Arabidopsis thaliana: one gene and its partner. The protein of the gene in region 1 interacts with the protein of each later gene in a pairwise test. Each region holds a gene or a part of one and is shown in the gene's direction. Other genes may lie near its edges.

What was found. The genes of interacting proteins can lie anywhere in the genome.
Region 2: the proteins of GSTU15 (region 1) and AT5G45780 interact in a protein complementation assay, tested with the Arabidopsis thaliana proteins (one large-scale study listed by BioGRID).

What each region holds. Positions count from the first base shown.
Region 1 is NC_003070.9:21,926,175-21,932,997, forward strand, and holds GSTU15 (glutathione S-transferase TAU 15), read left to right. Parts: upstream 1-3,835; 5' UTR 3,836-3,860; coding exon 3,861-4,187; intron 4,188-4,679; coding exon 4,680-5,054; 3' UTR 5,055-5,192; downstream 5,193-6,823. Other genes in the region: AT1G59660 (Nucleoporin autopeptidase), read left to right, coding at 55-267, 367-986, 1,095-1,179, 1,262-1,322, 1,449-1,587, 1,753-1,869, 1,977-2,133, 2,311-2,352 and 1 more; AT1G59675 (F-box family protein), read right to left, coding at 5,659-5,773, 5,850-6,229. UniProt on the Arabidopsis thaliana protein: May be involved in the conjugation of reduced glutathione to a wide number of exogenous and endogenous hydrophobic electrophiles and have a detoxification role against certain herbicides.
Region 2 is NC_003076.8:18,566,128-18,572,950, reverse strand, and holds AT5G45780 (Leucine-rich repeat protein kinase family protein), read left to right. Parts: upstream 1-3,044; 5' UTR 3,045-3,325; coding exon 3,326-3,443; exon of another isoform or gene 3,444-3,520; coding exon 3,521-3,653; intron 3,654-3,738; coding exon 3,739-3,810; intron 3,811-3,892; coding exon 3,893-4,036; intron 4,037-4,110; coding exon 4,111-4,182; intron 4,183-4,281; coding exon 4,282-4,341; intron 4,342-4,419; coding exon 4,420-4,493; intron 4,494-4,574; coding exon 4,575-4,721; intron 4,722-4,811; coding exon 4,812-5,150; intron 5,151-5,231; coding exon 5,232-5,623; intron 5,624-5,711; coding exon 5,712-6,005; 3' UTR 6,006-6,153; downstream 6,154-6,823. Other genes in the region: AT5G45790 (Ubiquitin carboxyl-terminal hydrolase family protein), read right to left, coding at 1-606; AT5G45775 (Ribosomal L5P family protein), read left to right, coding at 6,455-6,457, 6,547-6,654, 6,750-6,792.

The sequences.
Region 1 (6,823 bases):
AAGTTCGCACCCGTTAAATGGTAACTAAGTATGTTCACATGTTTTGTTTTGCAGGTGCACAGGCTTCGACTTCAACATTTGGGGGTCAATCAACTATCGGGGGTCAACAAGGGGGGAGTAGGGTTATTCCTTATGCACCTACAACTGACACAGCGTCAGGCACTGAAAGCAAGTCTGAAAGACTACAATCTATATCTGCCATGCCTGCACACAAAGGGAAAAACATGGAGGAGCTTAGGTGGGAGGACTACCAGCGAGGAGATAAAGGTCATATGCCAAACAAATCCATGATATTCGTTCGTCTAAAGGTTAGATGTTTGTACTTTATTTACCAAAATATTGACTCTCTTGTTGTTCAATTTTCAGGAGGACAACGTTCTACTGGTCAATCTCCTGAAGGTGCTGGATTTGGTGTAACAAATTCTCAGCCAAGTATATTCTCTACGTCACCAGCGTTTAGCCAGACACCTGTGAATCCAACAAACCCTTTTTCACAGACGACTCCAACAAGTAACACAAATTTTTCCCCCTCCTTTAGTCAACCCACTACCCCATCCTTTGGTCAACCCACTACCCCATCCTTTAGGTCAACTGTATCAAATACTACATCCGTTTTTGGATCATCCTCTAGTTTAACAACAAACACATCGCAGCCACTTGGTTCATCAATATTTGGTTCTACTCCTGCACATGGGTCAACTCCAGGATTTAGCATTGGTGGATTTAACAACAGTCAGTCATCTCCGCTGTTTGGTTCAAACCCCTCATTTGCACAAAATACCACTCCTGCATTCAGCCAGACTAGTCCTTTGTTTGGACAGAATACCACTCCTGCATTAGGACAGTCTAGTTCTGTGTTTGGACAGAATACCAATCCTGCACTTGTACAGAGCAACACTTTCAGTACACCTTCCACTGGCTTTGGGAACACGTTTTCAAGCTCTTCATCCTTAACTACAAGCATCTCCCCCTTTGGTCAAATAACGGTTAGTTTTTCTGTAACTAATTTAAATGCCAGTTCACTTCAGAGTTGATGTCTCTTTCACTTCCGTTTGAGTTATGTAGGGATTTCTAATATGAGTTTATTTTTGCAGCCTGCTGTTACGCCCTTTCAATCAGCTCAGCCAACTCAACCATTAGGTGCTTTTGGTTTCAACAACTTTGGTCAAACCCAAATAGGTATGTGAATCAGTCAAAGGCACCCTGAATATTATCATCTTGAATACTCGAAGCCAAGTCTTGTATGTTTATGTTTCTGAAGCTAATACAACTGACATTGCAGGTGCAATGGGAACTTTTAGCCAAGGAAACTTTAAGCAACAGTATGGTCTCTCTGACCTCAGTGTTTCCGACTCTTATTTCCGACTAGATACCACTAGTTTAATTGTACTTTGGAAGTTGCGTCTCTGGAGCTTAATTCTTTTCTTTTTGTTTTGTTTTGTTGACAGGCCTGCATTGGGTAACTCTGCTGTTATGCAACCAACTCCTGTTACAAACCCATTTGGAACACTTCCTGCTTTGCCTCAGATTTCAATTGCTCAAGGTGGAAATTCACCTTCGATTCAGTATGGTATCTCCAGCATGCCTGTAAGTTTTTCTGCCTTTTTCAACACCCACACACACCACCCTTTTTCTTCATAACTTCTTTCCAAATTTGAAGCAAATAAAATATAGATATTCTCAAAGATACAATGTTACAGAAACAAATGACTACTCCATGTTATTACCCTGAATATTTTCCTTTCTTCTCAGGTCGTTGATAAGCCTGCTCCTGTTAGAGTATCACCACTCCTAACTTCTCGACACCTTTTACAAAGGCGGGTCAGGCTACCAACAAGAAAGTACCGTCCTAGTGATGATGGTCCAAAGGTATGTTTTTCTATTTTCTGAATTTTGGCTTTGTCTTGAATATTTCAGTCTTTAGTGATGTTTACTGAAGGTCTTTCTACCTGTTTGTTTCACCAATGTTTGTCCAGGTTCCATTCTTCAGCGATGAAGAGGAGAATTCCAGTACACCAAAGGCTGATGCGTTTTTCATTCCAAGGGAGAACCCTAGAGCTTTATTTATACGCCCAGTTGAAAGGGTAAAATCAGAACATCCAAAGGATAGCCCGACCCCACTGCAGGAGAACGGTAAGCTTCCCTTTTTTTTTTCATTCATTGGCTTATTTATTGCAAGATTTAGAGCTTTGTTTCAATTGCAAAAAGAAGCTTTTCATTGTCCCAATAGCTCGGAAGATGATCTGCTTGCATATTAATATAGTGGCTGAATTTGATCATATCTGACCCCTTATTACATTTGAAATTCAGGTAAGAGGTCGAATGGGGTTACTAATGGAGCCAACCATGAGAGTGAGTATTTTAAATATGCATTTGTAACAAAATTGTGATTAAAGTTTGTGCATTGGTGAGGCCATTCACTGACTCTACTGTTAATATGTGCAGCTAAGGATAACGGTGCAATTCGTGAAGCTCCCCCGGTAAAAGTCAATCAGAAACAGAACGGGACACATGAAAATCACGGAGGCGACAAAAACGGTTCACACAGTTCACCAAGTGGAGCAGATATTGAGTCATTAATGCCGAAGTTGCATCACTCTGAATATTTCACAGAGCCTCGGATCCAAGAACTGGCTGCAAAAGAAAGGGTTGAACAGGGTTATTGCAAGCGGGTAAAGGACTTTGTTGTTGGGAGACACGGTTACGGGAGCATAAAGTTTCTAGGAGAGACGGATGTGTGTAGACTCGACCTGGAAATGGTGGTTCAGTTCAAAAACCGGGAAGTGAATGTGTACATGGACGAGAGCAAAAAACCGCCGGTGGGTCAAGGATTGAATAAGCCTGCGGTGGTAACTTTGCTGAACATAAAATGTATGGACAAGAAGACCGGCACGCAAGTGATGGAAGGCGAGAGATTGGACAAGTACAAGGAAATGCTCAAGAGGAAAGCTGGGGAACAAGGAGCTCAGTTTGTGTCTTATGATCCTGTGAATGGCGAGTGGACTTTCAAGGTCGAACATTTCAGTTCCTACAAGCTTGGAGATGAATATGATGTGTAGAAAAGGACCAAAGTCGTTGTCATATGTAGACTAGTGTCTCGATTATTTTTTATTTTTTTTACCTTGTGGGGTTTTGTCTATTGGTCTTTTGCAATATAATGTCAAAATGATACGTCTTTTACCTCATTGGCTCAACCTGGAAAAATTCAATATTCATTTTGTTGTTTTCGCCAATTAATATAATAATATCTCACTAAGAAGCAGAAAAAAAAAATAGAGTCGTGGAGGACACAAAACTGGTCTCACCAGTTGTTTCGTGGTTTCTTCTAAAGATATTATTAGTTCCTAATTTATAAAAAATTTTGATGACTTTAATCACATCCTAAAAAGTAAATAAAAGAAAGATTATAAACTATTTAGAGAATTTTTTATAATTTTATTGATTAGCTTTTATAATTTTGTAAAATTTCTCAAATAATTTTTCTATTTTAATAATATTTTTCATGACTTTCTATGACTTTATTTTGTGAAAAAAATGTAGAAAGTTATGAACCAATAACATAATAATTCAAATCATTAACAATCAGAAATTATTATATTTTAATTGAATAACACAAAACTTTTACTGATTTTATAAGAGTATGAATCTAATAACTCCAAATTTATGAAGATTTTAGATTACTTTTTACAAATCTTATTTGAATAACATAAACTTTAACATATTTTTAAAAAGTCTTGATTGAATATCAACAGATTCTACATAACACTTTAAATCACTAACTTTTTTTTTGAAATCATATATAAACCAATAACACCCCCTAATTGTATACCTAAACTAAAAATAATTTAGACAAAACAAAGATGGGAGAGAGAGAGGAAGTGAAACTGTTGGGAACATGGTACAGTCCGGTCGTGATAAGAGCAAAGATCGCTCTTCGTCTCAAATCGGTTGATTATGATTACGTTGAAGAGGATTTGTTCGGATCTAAGAGTGAGCTTCTTCTCAAATCGAACCCTATTTTCAAGAAAGTCCCGGTTCTCATCCACAACACTAAACCGGTTTGTGTATCTCTTAACATCGTTGAATACATCGACGAGACGTGGAACTCATCTGGATCGTCCATTCTTCCTTCTCATCCTTATGATCGTGCCCTTGCTCGCTTCTGGTCTGTCTTTGTTGATGACAAGGTCAGTTTTTTTTGTGTCTTTTTTTTCTGATGTCCAACAAATTTAATTTATGAGTGATCAGTAATACTTTATGCAATAAAATTTTGATATTTTTAGCGAGATACTAATAATTATATCTTATTTTTTGAATGACAAAAACTTATTGTTTATGCATATCTAAATTGTTGAAAATTTGAAATTAAATGGACCATGCAAATATGCAATATGAAGTGTGGAAAATTCGGCTTAAAATAATTGAAATCTAGTCCTTTTTCCCATTGTTTCAACAAAAACAGAACTATTTATTTATCACTCTAAATAATTTGATGGATGATTGAAATTGGTCCCAAATATCTTCAATGAGTTTTAAACTTGATCATTATAAAATCAATTAGGATGTTCCTACCATGAAATAATCAATATTTTATCAAGAAGAAACCATTAAGCTTAATTTTGATTTAGAACAAATTTGTATCACACTATTTTCGCTAATTTTCCATTTCAAGAATGCAGTGGTTACCGACTTTGATGGCAGCTGTGGTCGCTAAATCGGAAGAAGCAAAAGCAAAAGGCATGGAAGAAGTGGAAGAAGGGTTGTTGCAACTAGAAGCTGCGTTTATTGCTCTAAGCAAAGGGAAATCTTTTTTTGGCGGTGAAACAATCGGGTTCATAGACATTTGCCTTGGAAGCTTTTTAGTTCTCTTAAAAGCTAGAGAGAAGCTTAAAAACGAAAAGATTTTAGACGAATTAAAAACTCCTTCTCTTTATAGATGGGCCAACCAGTTTTTGTCAAATGAAATGGTGAAGAATGTGGTGCCGGATATTGATAAAGTCGCCAAGTTTATAGAAGAGTTTGAGGATAGAGCTCAATATATCCGGTGCTTCTAGATCTTGAGATCATCACAGAAATCGTTAGAAAAGAGTGGAGGTTTAGTCTTGGCTTCAAAGTCAAACTTGTTATCTCCAAAAACAGAGTTTCATATGGTTTATTCATATGTTAGTTAATCTAAAAGAAGAACATGGTTCTATTTCTCATTTGCTAAAAATCTTTTATAACTAATTAAAAATATTATGCTGGGACATATTCAACAATAGAACAAGTGTCTGTCACTATTCAGCAAAATAGTTGTTAGGAGATCTCGGGATTACGAGATCGTTGTGAAATATATTTCCTTATTGTTATTAGGAAACATAATATTTGTGTATATCTTCCTATTATTAAATAAGATATTTAGAATTATCCTAAATGTAAAAAACTTGCTAAACAAATTATATATTTGTATAAATAAACCTCCTATTAGGCTAATCAATAAAATTGAGAGAAACTATTACATTTCCTCCGTGCTTATTTCCTTCTTAAAGTGCAAAAATAAACTTTGATGGAGTGAGAATATATGACATGCTTCTTCTTCTTTCTTCACTTATGTATTATCCTTACATATTAAGGGTCAAAGGTGAAAACAAAGAAAACATGACCGATGAAGGCGCTACTTCACAAAGACACAAGACTTTCGATGTGATTTGGGTAAACATTCATGGTGTACATATACTTGTCAGAAAGTCTAACTTCATCACCCACAGTTTCGACTTCTCTAATACTGTTTCTCCTGAAATCAAAATATAGAATATAAACCGATTTAGAAAACCAAAAAGGTGAAAAATAAGCTCACCAGCATTACTAACATCTTTGAAGTGTAGCTTTTTGTTCTGTATTGGGTCCATTTCAGAAAGTGGTAACGAGAGAGGTTACCAAAATTAGGGTTTGTCAATTGATAACTTCCCACACAAGTAAATTGACCATCGGAACTATTCTTGTCTACGGGATACGAGAAAACGAACAGAATGTCACCTTTTCGGACGGTTAGCAGTACAGAAGGCCGCGATGCCAAGGACCCAGTCGCAAAGGAGTTGATGAAATTTTGACTGGTGGTGTTGGCCGACCAGAGCTTAGAGACGGAGCGAAATCTCCCAACCGATTTCGCAGGAAGTCTTGAGAGTATCTCAATGGTTAAATCCAAAGGAACATGGTCTGATTGAGATGTATCATTATCACGTGAGGACATTGTCGAAGAAGATTATGTTCTTCTCTCGATCTTTCCCGTCTTCTCTTCCATGGTCTATCGCTCCAGTTTTTCACTTTCTCTGAACCCTAATTGAGAATACTCATTTGATTATTAATATAATATTATAATCTTAATGTTATTTTTACAAAATTAGGGAACTTTGTCGTAAAGTTTAATTTGGTAAAATTCCAAAAATAAATTCAAATTATTTTTTATTTGAATGTTTAATACCCAAAAAATATTAGAAACCTAAAGCGTCTCTCATTAATATTTTGGAAACTTATCAATTTACATTAGAAGTTTATAACTATATTCAGTTGTAAACTTATACAAGTTAATATTAATAAACCTAAAATTCAATTTTTTTTTTTAATAATTATATGTATTTATATCTTATACAAGTTAATATTAATATACTCCATGATAATAACAAAAAATATATTTGATAAATTAAGTTATGTTTATAAAAAAATAGTCAAAAGCTAGCACAAGGAAACAAAACGATTGTGCCCTAAGCCCTAAGTTAACAATTTGTCTTCATATATCTCGAGAGAAAAGAGTGGGCAAGCGTAGATAGTTAAAAACTTAGTTTGA
Region 2 (6,823 bases), on another chromosome or scaffold:
ATCCTCAGGCAAACCCAATTCCTTTCTAATCAACCTCAAAGCATGTACACGAAGAACACCGTGTTTCGACAACAACAACAACTTCTTTACCCTCTTCACAGCATCAACCTCACACTCTCTAACAACATTCTCTTCCTCATCAATCAATACCTTAAACTTCTCAGTAATCTTACAACAAAGATTCTTACTAAAAGGATGTGTAAAGATCTCAAAAGCATGAGGATACTTACCGATAAAAGCTCCAACATTTACATTCAAACCAACGAGATTCTTCCATCTAGACATAAGCTGCAAAGAAACAAAAGGACCACGCTTTTTGCTAGACATGAGTTTTGAAATCTCGAGGATGATGTTTAGTTTCCTAATCTGGGGAATGATTTTGTCTAATTGATGATCTCTTGTTCGATTCTCTAACCTTGTTTGTGCTGAATCTACAGGCTTTAACCATCTTCGTTGATTGTAGAAGTAAAGTGGGCATAAAAATGAAGACTTTGTTGGGTTTTGATGTGTCAAAGCTTCTCTAATGCTACTGTATCTCAAAGATTTTAGAGAATTCATATCTTTTTTACTGTGAATTTCGGGAAAAAGGAAACATTTTTCGAACATCGATCACCATTTTAGAGAGAAAGCGGCGGAGAGAGAGCGAGAACGACAAACGAGTTTAGAGAGGGTTCGGTTTTTAAGGCTGGTCGAACCAAACGGTTTTTACCTGAACCGAACCGAAATTTATCAAACCGAATTTGAATGGTATTTTGTTGACGTGGCATCAAATCATACATTATTATCGGGCGGCGAAGCTTAGGACTCTTGTTTAGGTATTTGCGTTAACTGATCAAATGATTCAAATTACATCTGCAAAACATTATTTATAGGTGTAGAAAACACTAGTTTAATCACTTCAATAATAATAATTCACTAGGAGAAAAAAGAAATTGCTTCTCTAATAATAAAATTGTTCAAATTATAATAATTTTAGTTTAATCTCCAAATCATTTACGTAACAACATGAGAGAGAGAGAGAGGAAGAGAGAAGAGAAGTGGGTACCGAGATAGATTCAAACACTTGATCTCAAGTTTCTGTGGTAACTCAACGATTTGGACGAGATGTGATCTAATGGTTAATTTAATTGCTCGAGTTATTATTCAATACACTTAACTATTAAATTAGTCAAAACATCTATAATTCCCTAAAGCGAAATCAAAAATATAAAACTTAACAAACAAGTTTAAAAGAAAAAAATTGTAATTTACTGTATAAAAAAATGTTTTATTTGATATTTAGAAAAAATAAATAATACAATATTTATTTTATTATTTAATTTTCATAAATGATTGAAAGATGCTAACACTATAAATTTAAAAATATCTTTTATTTTAATTACAAAACTAATATTTGTAAGTTTTGTTCAAATTATTTCATGCACCTACGAAAAATGGTGGATCCACGTGACTTTACAAAATAATATATGGTTCAAAATCTTTAAATATATGAAAAAACAATCACATTAGCAAAACATTAACTTAAAAATGATAAAAATACTATATGACAATATGACATGGACGAATTGTGTGCATACACAACCTAACCAATATTCAGAAAATAATTCTATATTTTTAATGATGTCGTAAGCAGTGGCTTTGGTGAATTATGCCATAGACCGTCTTTGCCACTTTGATACCATTTCGAATTTAGTTTGGATCATCTTATCGTTCACATTTTTGCTTTATGATATATTTGCGCTTTTATTACTATTTCATAGTATAATTTTACCCACATTCTAAATGATATGTATGAGAGATTTTACAATGATTTGAGATCAGTAGCAGAAATGCAAACATACTAACATAGGTAATATAAAAAACTCAAGAAAGCATTAGATCCAAGATCAATTATATCCAAACTCAAAACTAAAAAGACCAAGCTGTTTAAGACCAATACATAAGTAATTTAAACAAGAATTTGTAAAATTTACTCTACTGAATTACAAGGTAAATTATTTTAGTTAGTTTGTAATTCTACCGTTTGAAGAGGATAGTTGTTACGCACTTGCAAAAAAGGATACCTTTTACACACTTGCCAAAAACGTTGTGTATTGGGATACCGAAAATTATGGTATCTCAAAACACGTTGACCCCGTTACGATTAAGGCGGTTGGTGACCCTAATGAACTTTTTCTCGGTACCTTCAGTTACTTTGATTCTACCTATATCGACTCTACCTCAGTCATTTCAGGTAAAAAAATTTAATATTATATTTCTAGAAAAATGTTCTTTAATATTATACTTATAGAATCTTACGTGAGATGACTTTGGTGTGGATATTGTAGATGAAAAGCAAGCAAGTGACGTTATTATCAAATCAAAGATCATTTCTTGGGCGAAGGATAGTCCTGAAGTTGCAAATGAACTATTAATTGCAGGATATAAAGGGTATCGGTATGTACAAGACCTACTAAAAACTCAAGGACATAATGTTTTTTTGGGATAGATCTCTGAAAATTCGTCGCGGAATTATTTCATGTTAAAATGGTATGAGAATGGAAGCGATTAGCAGAGGAATGAGGACCATTAACACATGAAGGAATTATATGTCCTAATTGCAACGAAAAAGTGTAAAATGAGGCTAAACAAGATTTATGGAGAAAGGGTAAAATGACTAAATCAGCCGTGCATGAGCACATAAGCATTATATTGCATGTTTTAAGAGTCTTGAAGCTTGAAGACTTTGCTATTACTCGAAATGTTATCAAAAATTAATTAAAACTTGATAATTATTTTAGTCGCAAGATAATTATTTTTTGTTATTGTTACAAAAATCATCACCATTCAAATATTGTGTCACACCATTTATTCCATACTAACCCAACTTATTACTAACCCAATATCGTTCATACGAGCATTAGTCTTGAGCATTATTGACTTTTTCAATGGTGAAATAAAGATAAATCAAGCCGTTGATCGGAATACCATATCAGATTCAAGAGTGTGCTGTTGTACCATTGTTCTCGTAGAACCGATTACAGAGGATCTAATCTCACTAACACTGTCAAAAGTCAGATATAAAAACAAAAAAAAGTCTTACAGAACAGAAGACAAGGAAACAATCGTTTGACAACTTCGAGGATTTTCCCGCTTCCATTTGCTATAATCGTCAATTTCTTTATTTGTCTTCTTCTTCTTCTTCTTCATCTCGATTCAATTTAATGCCAAAAAAAACTTATCTTTTTAATGTATTTATAATGTTTCAAATGGTCTGCCCTAGAAGAAAGGGCATACAAATGATAACTAACATTGAAGTCTAGAGAATTCTTATACTTTTTCTACGATGGAGATTTCTTTGATGAAGTTTCTGTTTTTAGGAATCTGGGTTTATTATTACTCTGTTCTTGACTCTGTTTCTGCCATGGATAGTCTTTTATCTCCCAAGGGTGTTAACTATGAAGGTGAAAAAAGTATCAAAGATCTTTCTTTTATTGTGTAAAAAGGTTTTGACTTAATCCATATTTTTGGGTTATTGTAGTGGCTGCGTTAATGTCAGTGAAGAACAAGATGAAAGATGAGAAAGAGGTTTTGTCTGGTTGGGATATTAACTCTGTTGATCCTTGTACTTGGAACATGGTTGGTTGTTCTTCTGAAGGTTTTGTGGTTTCTCTGTGAGTATCTTTTGCACACCACTTGTTCGACTAAATGTCTCTGAGAAACGTTTCTTTGCTGAGTTTATTGAAATCTTTAATGCAGAGAGATGGCTAGTAAAGGATTATCAGGGATACTATCTACTAGTATTGGGGAATTAACTCATCTTCATACTTTGTGAGTTAAATGAATTTGTGGTTAATCTTGGAATTCAAGTATGTGTTGTTGTAACTAATGGGGTTACTTGTTATTATTGTAGGTTACTTCAGAATAATCAGTTAACTGGTCCGATTCCTTCTGAGTTAGGCCAACTCTCTGAGCTTGAAACGCTTGATTTATCGGGGAATCGGTTTAGTGGTGAAATCCCAGCTTCTTTAGGGTTCTTAACTCACTTAAACTACTTGTGAGTTTGATGCAAAGATTCTTGATTTACTTAATGTTGCAATTGTTATTTTCTTACAAGGTTAAGTCTTGTAGGCGGCTTAGCAGGAATCTTTTATCTGGGCAAGTCCCTCACCTCGTCGCTGGCCTCTCAGGTCTTTCTTTCTTGTATGTCTTACTCTACCTAACATTACAGCTCCAGGAAATTTCTATTTCGTATAATGTTTCTTAGACTAATGTTTTTTTATTTATGAAAAACTTGAATAGGGATCTATCTTTCAACAATCTAAGCGGACCAACTCCGAATATATCAGCAAAAGATTACAGGTAAGATATGCGAAAAATGCATGATTATTAGCCGTTGCAACTTATGTGAAAGCTTCTTGATAAACTTTTCTGTTTTAGGATTGTAGGAAATGCATTTCTTTGTGGTCCAGCTTCCCAAGAGCTTTGCTCAGATGCTACACCTGTGAGAAATGGTATGTTGCTTCGAAAATTCTTTGCAAAACTTTATTTAAAACATGGTTTCGTTTATTTAACTAGCTGCAATCGATCTGCAGCGACGGGTTTGTCTGAAAAGGACAATAGCAAACATCACAGCTTAGTGCTCTCTTTTGCATTTGGCATTGTTGTTGCCTTTATCATCTCCCTAATGTTTCTCTTCTTCTGGGTGCTTTGGCATCGATCACGTCTCTCAAGATCACACGGTACATATCTAATAGTCTCTCTCTGTCTGTCATATACAATATATGTCAAGACTTTGCTAAAATCTGCATTACTTTTTATGGATTTCTTAGTGCAGCAAGACTACGAATTTGAAATCGGCCATCTGAAAAGGTTCAGTTTTCGCGAAATACAAACCGCAACAAGCAATTTTAGTCCAAAGAACATTTTGGGACAAGGAGGGTTTGGGATGGTTTATAAAGGGTATCTCCCAAATGGAACTGTGGTGGCAGTTAAAAGATTGAAAGATCCGATTTATACAGGAGAAGTTCAGTTTCAAACCGAAGTAGAGATGATTGGCTTAGCTGTTCACCGTAACCTTTTACGCCTCTTTGGATTCTGTATGACCCCGGAAGAGAGAATGCTTGTGTATCCGTACATGCCAAATGGAAGCGTAGCTGATCGTCTGAGAGGTTTTCAATTAACACATTTCTTGTTTTGTTATTCTTTCGATATATAACGCGAAAAGTTCCTTATAAGATTACATGTTTCAGACAATTATGGAGAAAAGCCGTCTCTAGATTGGAATCGGAGGATAAGCATTGCACTCGGCGCAGCTCGAGGACTTGTTTACTTGCACGAGCAATGCAATCCAAAGATTATTCACAGAGACGTCAAAGCTGCAAATATTCTACTTGATGAGAGCTTTGAAGCAATAGTTGGCGATTTTGGTCTAGCAAAGCTTTTAGACCAGAGAGATTCACATGTCACTACCGCAGTCCGAGGAACCATTGGACACATCGCTCCCGAGTACCTTTCCACTGGACAGTCCTCAGAGAAAACCGATGTTTTCGGATTCGGAGTACTAATCCTTGAACTCATAACAGGTCATAAGATGATTGATCAAGGCAATGGTCAAGTTCGAAAAGGAATGATATTGAGCTGGGTAAGTAAAAAAATTCTATGAGTCATTTACTCAACTTAGACTGAACCCATAAGGACAAAACTTAAATCTAAACCATTGGTTTTTGTAGGTAAGGACATTGAAAGCAGAGAAGAGATTTGCAGAGATGGTGGACAGAGATTTGAAGGGAGAGTTTGATGATTTGGTGTTGGAGGAAGTAGTGGAATTGGCTTTGCTTTGTACACAGCCACATCCGAATCTAAGACCGAGGATGTCTCAAGTGTTGAAGGTACTAGAAGGTTTAGTGGAACAGTGTGAAGGAGGGTATGAAGCTAGAGCTCCAAGTGTCTCTAGGAACTACAGTAATGGTCATGAAGAGCAGTCCTTTATTATTGAAGCCATTGAGCTCTCTGGACCACGATGATAGACTTCATAGTGTCTTAACTAGTCTTCTTGATTTTGTTGTCATTGTCATGGCATTAACTGTAAAAATTTGTTTTCTCAATAACTCTTATTTATTCTGTTCTTCCAAAAATAAATGAAGATTTGCGTTTCCACAGTCTCATAAAAAATTATCTATCGTTAATTTTAAAACTCATACATAATAAAGTGATTCGGCGAATGAAAGACTATTTGCCTTATGTAACTAAGAAGGCCAAATATATGCTTAAGATTATGCTTTTCTTATGGGCTTTATAATATTGGCCCATTAAACCATTTTAATAAATCAAAGGGGTAATTTCGTCATTGCGTTAATTCAAGAAACCCTAAGTACCGACCCATATAAGTTCTCTCACTTTGCACTCGACGCAGTTTTGGGCTTTGCAAACTCTACACTGCTTCGTCTCTTAGCTCGACATTGATCTCCTTAAAATGGTATTTGTTTCGTTCGTCTCTGTAGATCGATTCAATGAAAATGTGTTTAGTTCAATGGGTTTATTTTTCGGCTTTGTTTTGTTTCTCAGGCGTCGGAGAAGAAGCTCTCGAACCCCATGAGGGACATTAAGGTTCAGAAACTTGTTCTCAACATTTCCGTTGGTGAGAGTGGTGATCGTCTCACTCGTGCCTCCAAGGTTCGATTTTGTTTGTAAAAATCTGACCTTTACGATTATCCATCATTGATTTAGTGATTTAGATTTGAATTATTGTTTTTGGTTATTTCGTATAGGTGTTGGAGCAGCTCAGTGGACAAACCCCTGTCTTCTCTAAGGGTATGTGAATTTGAAATCTTTCAGGGATTTA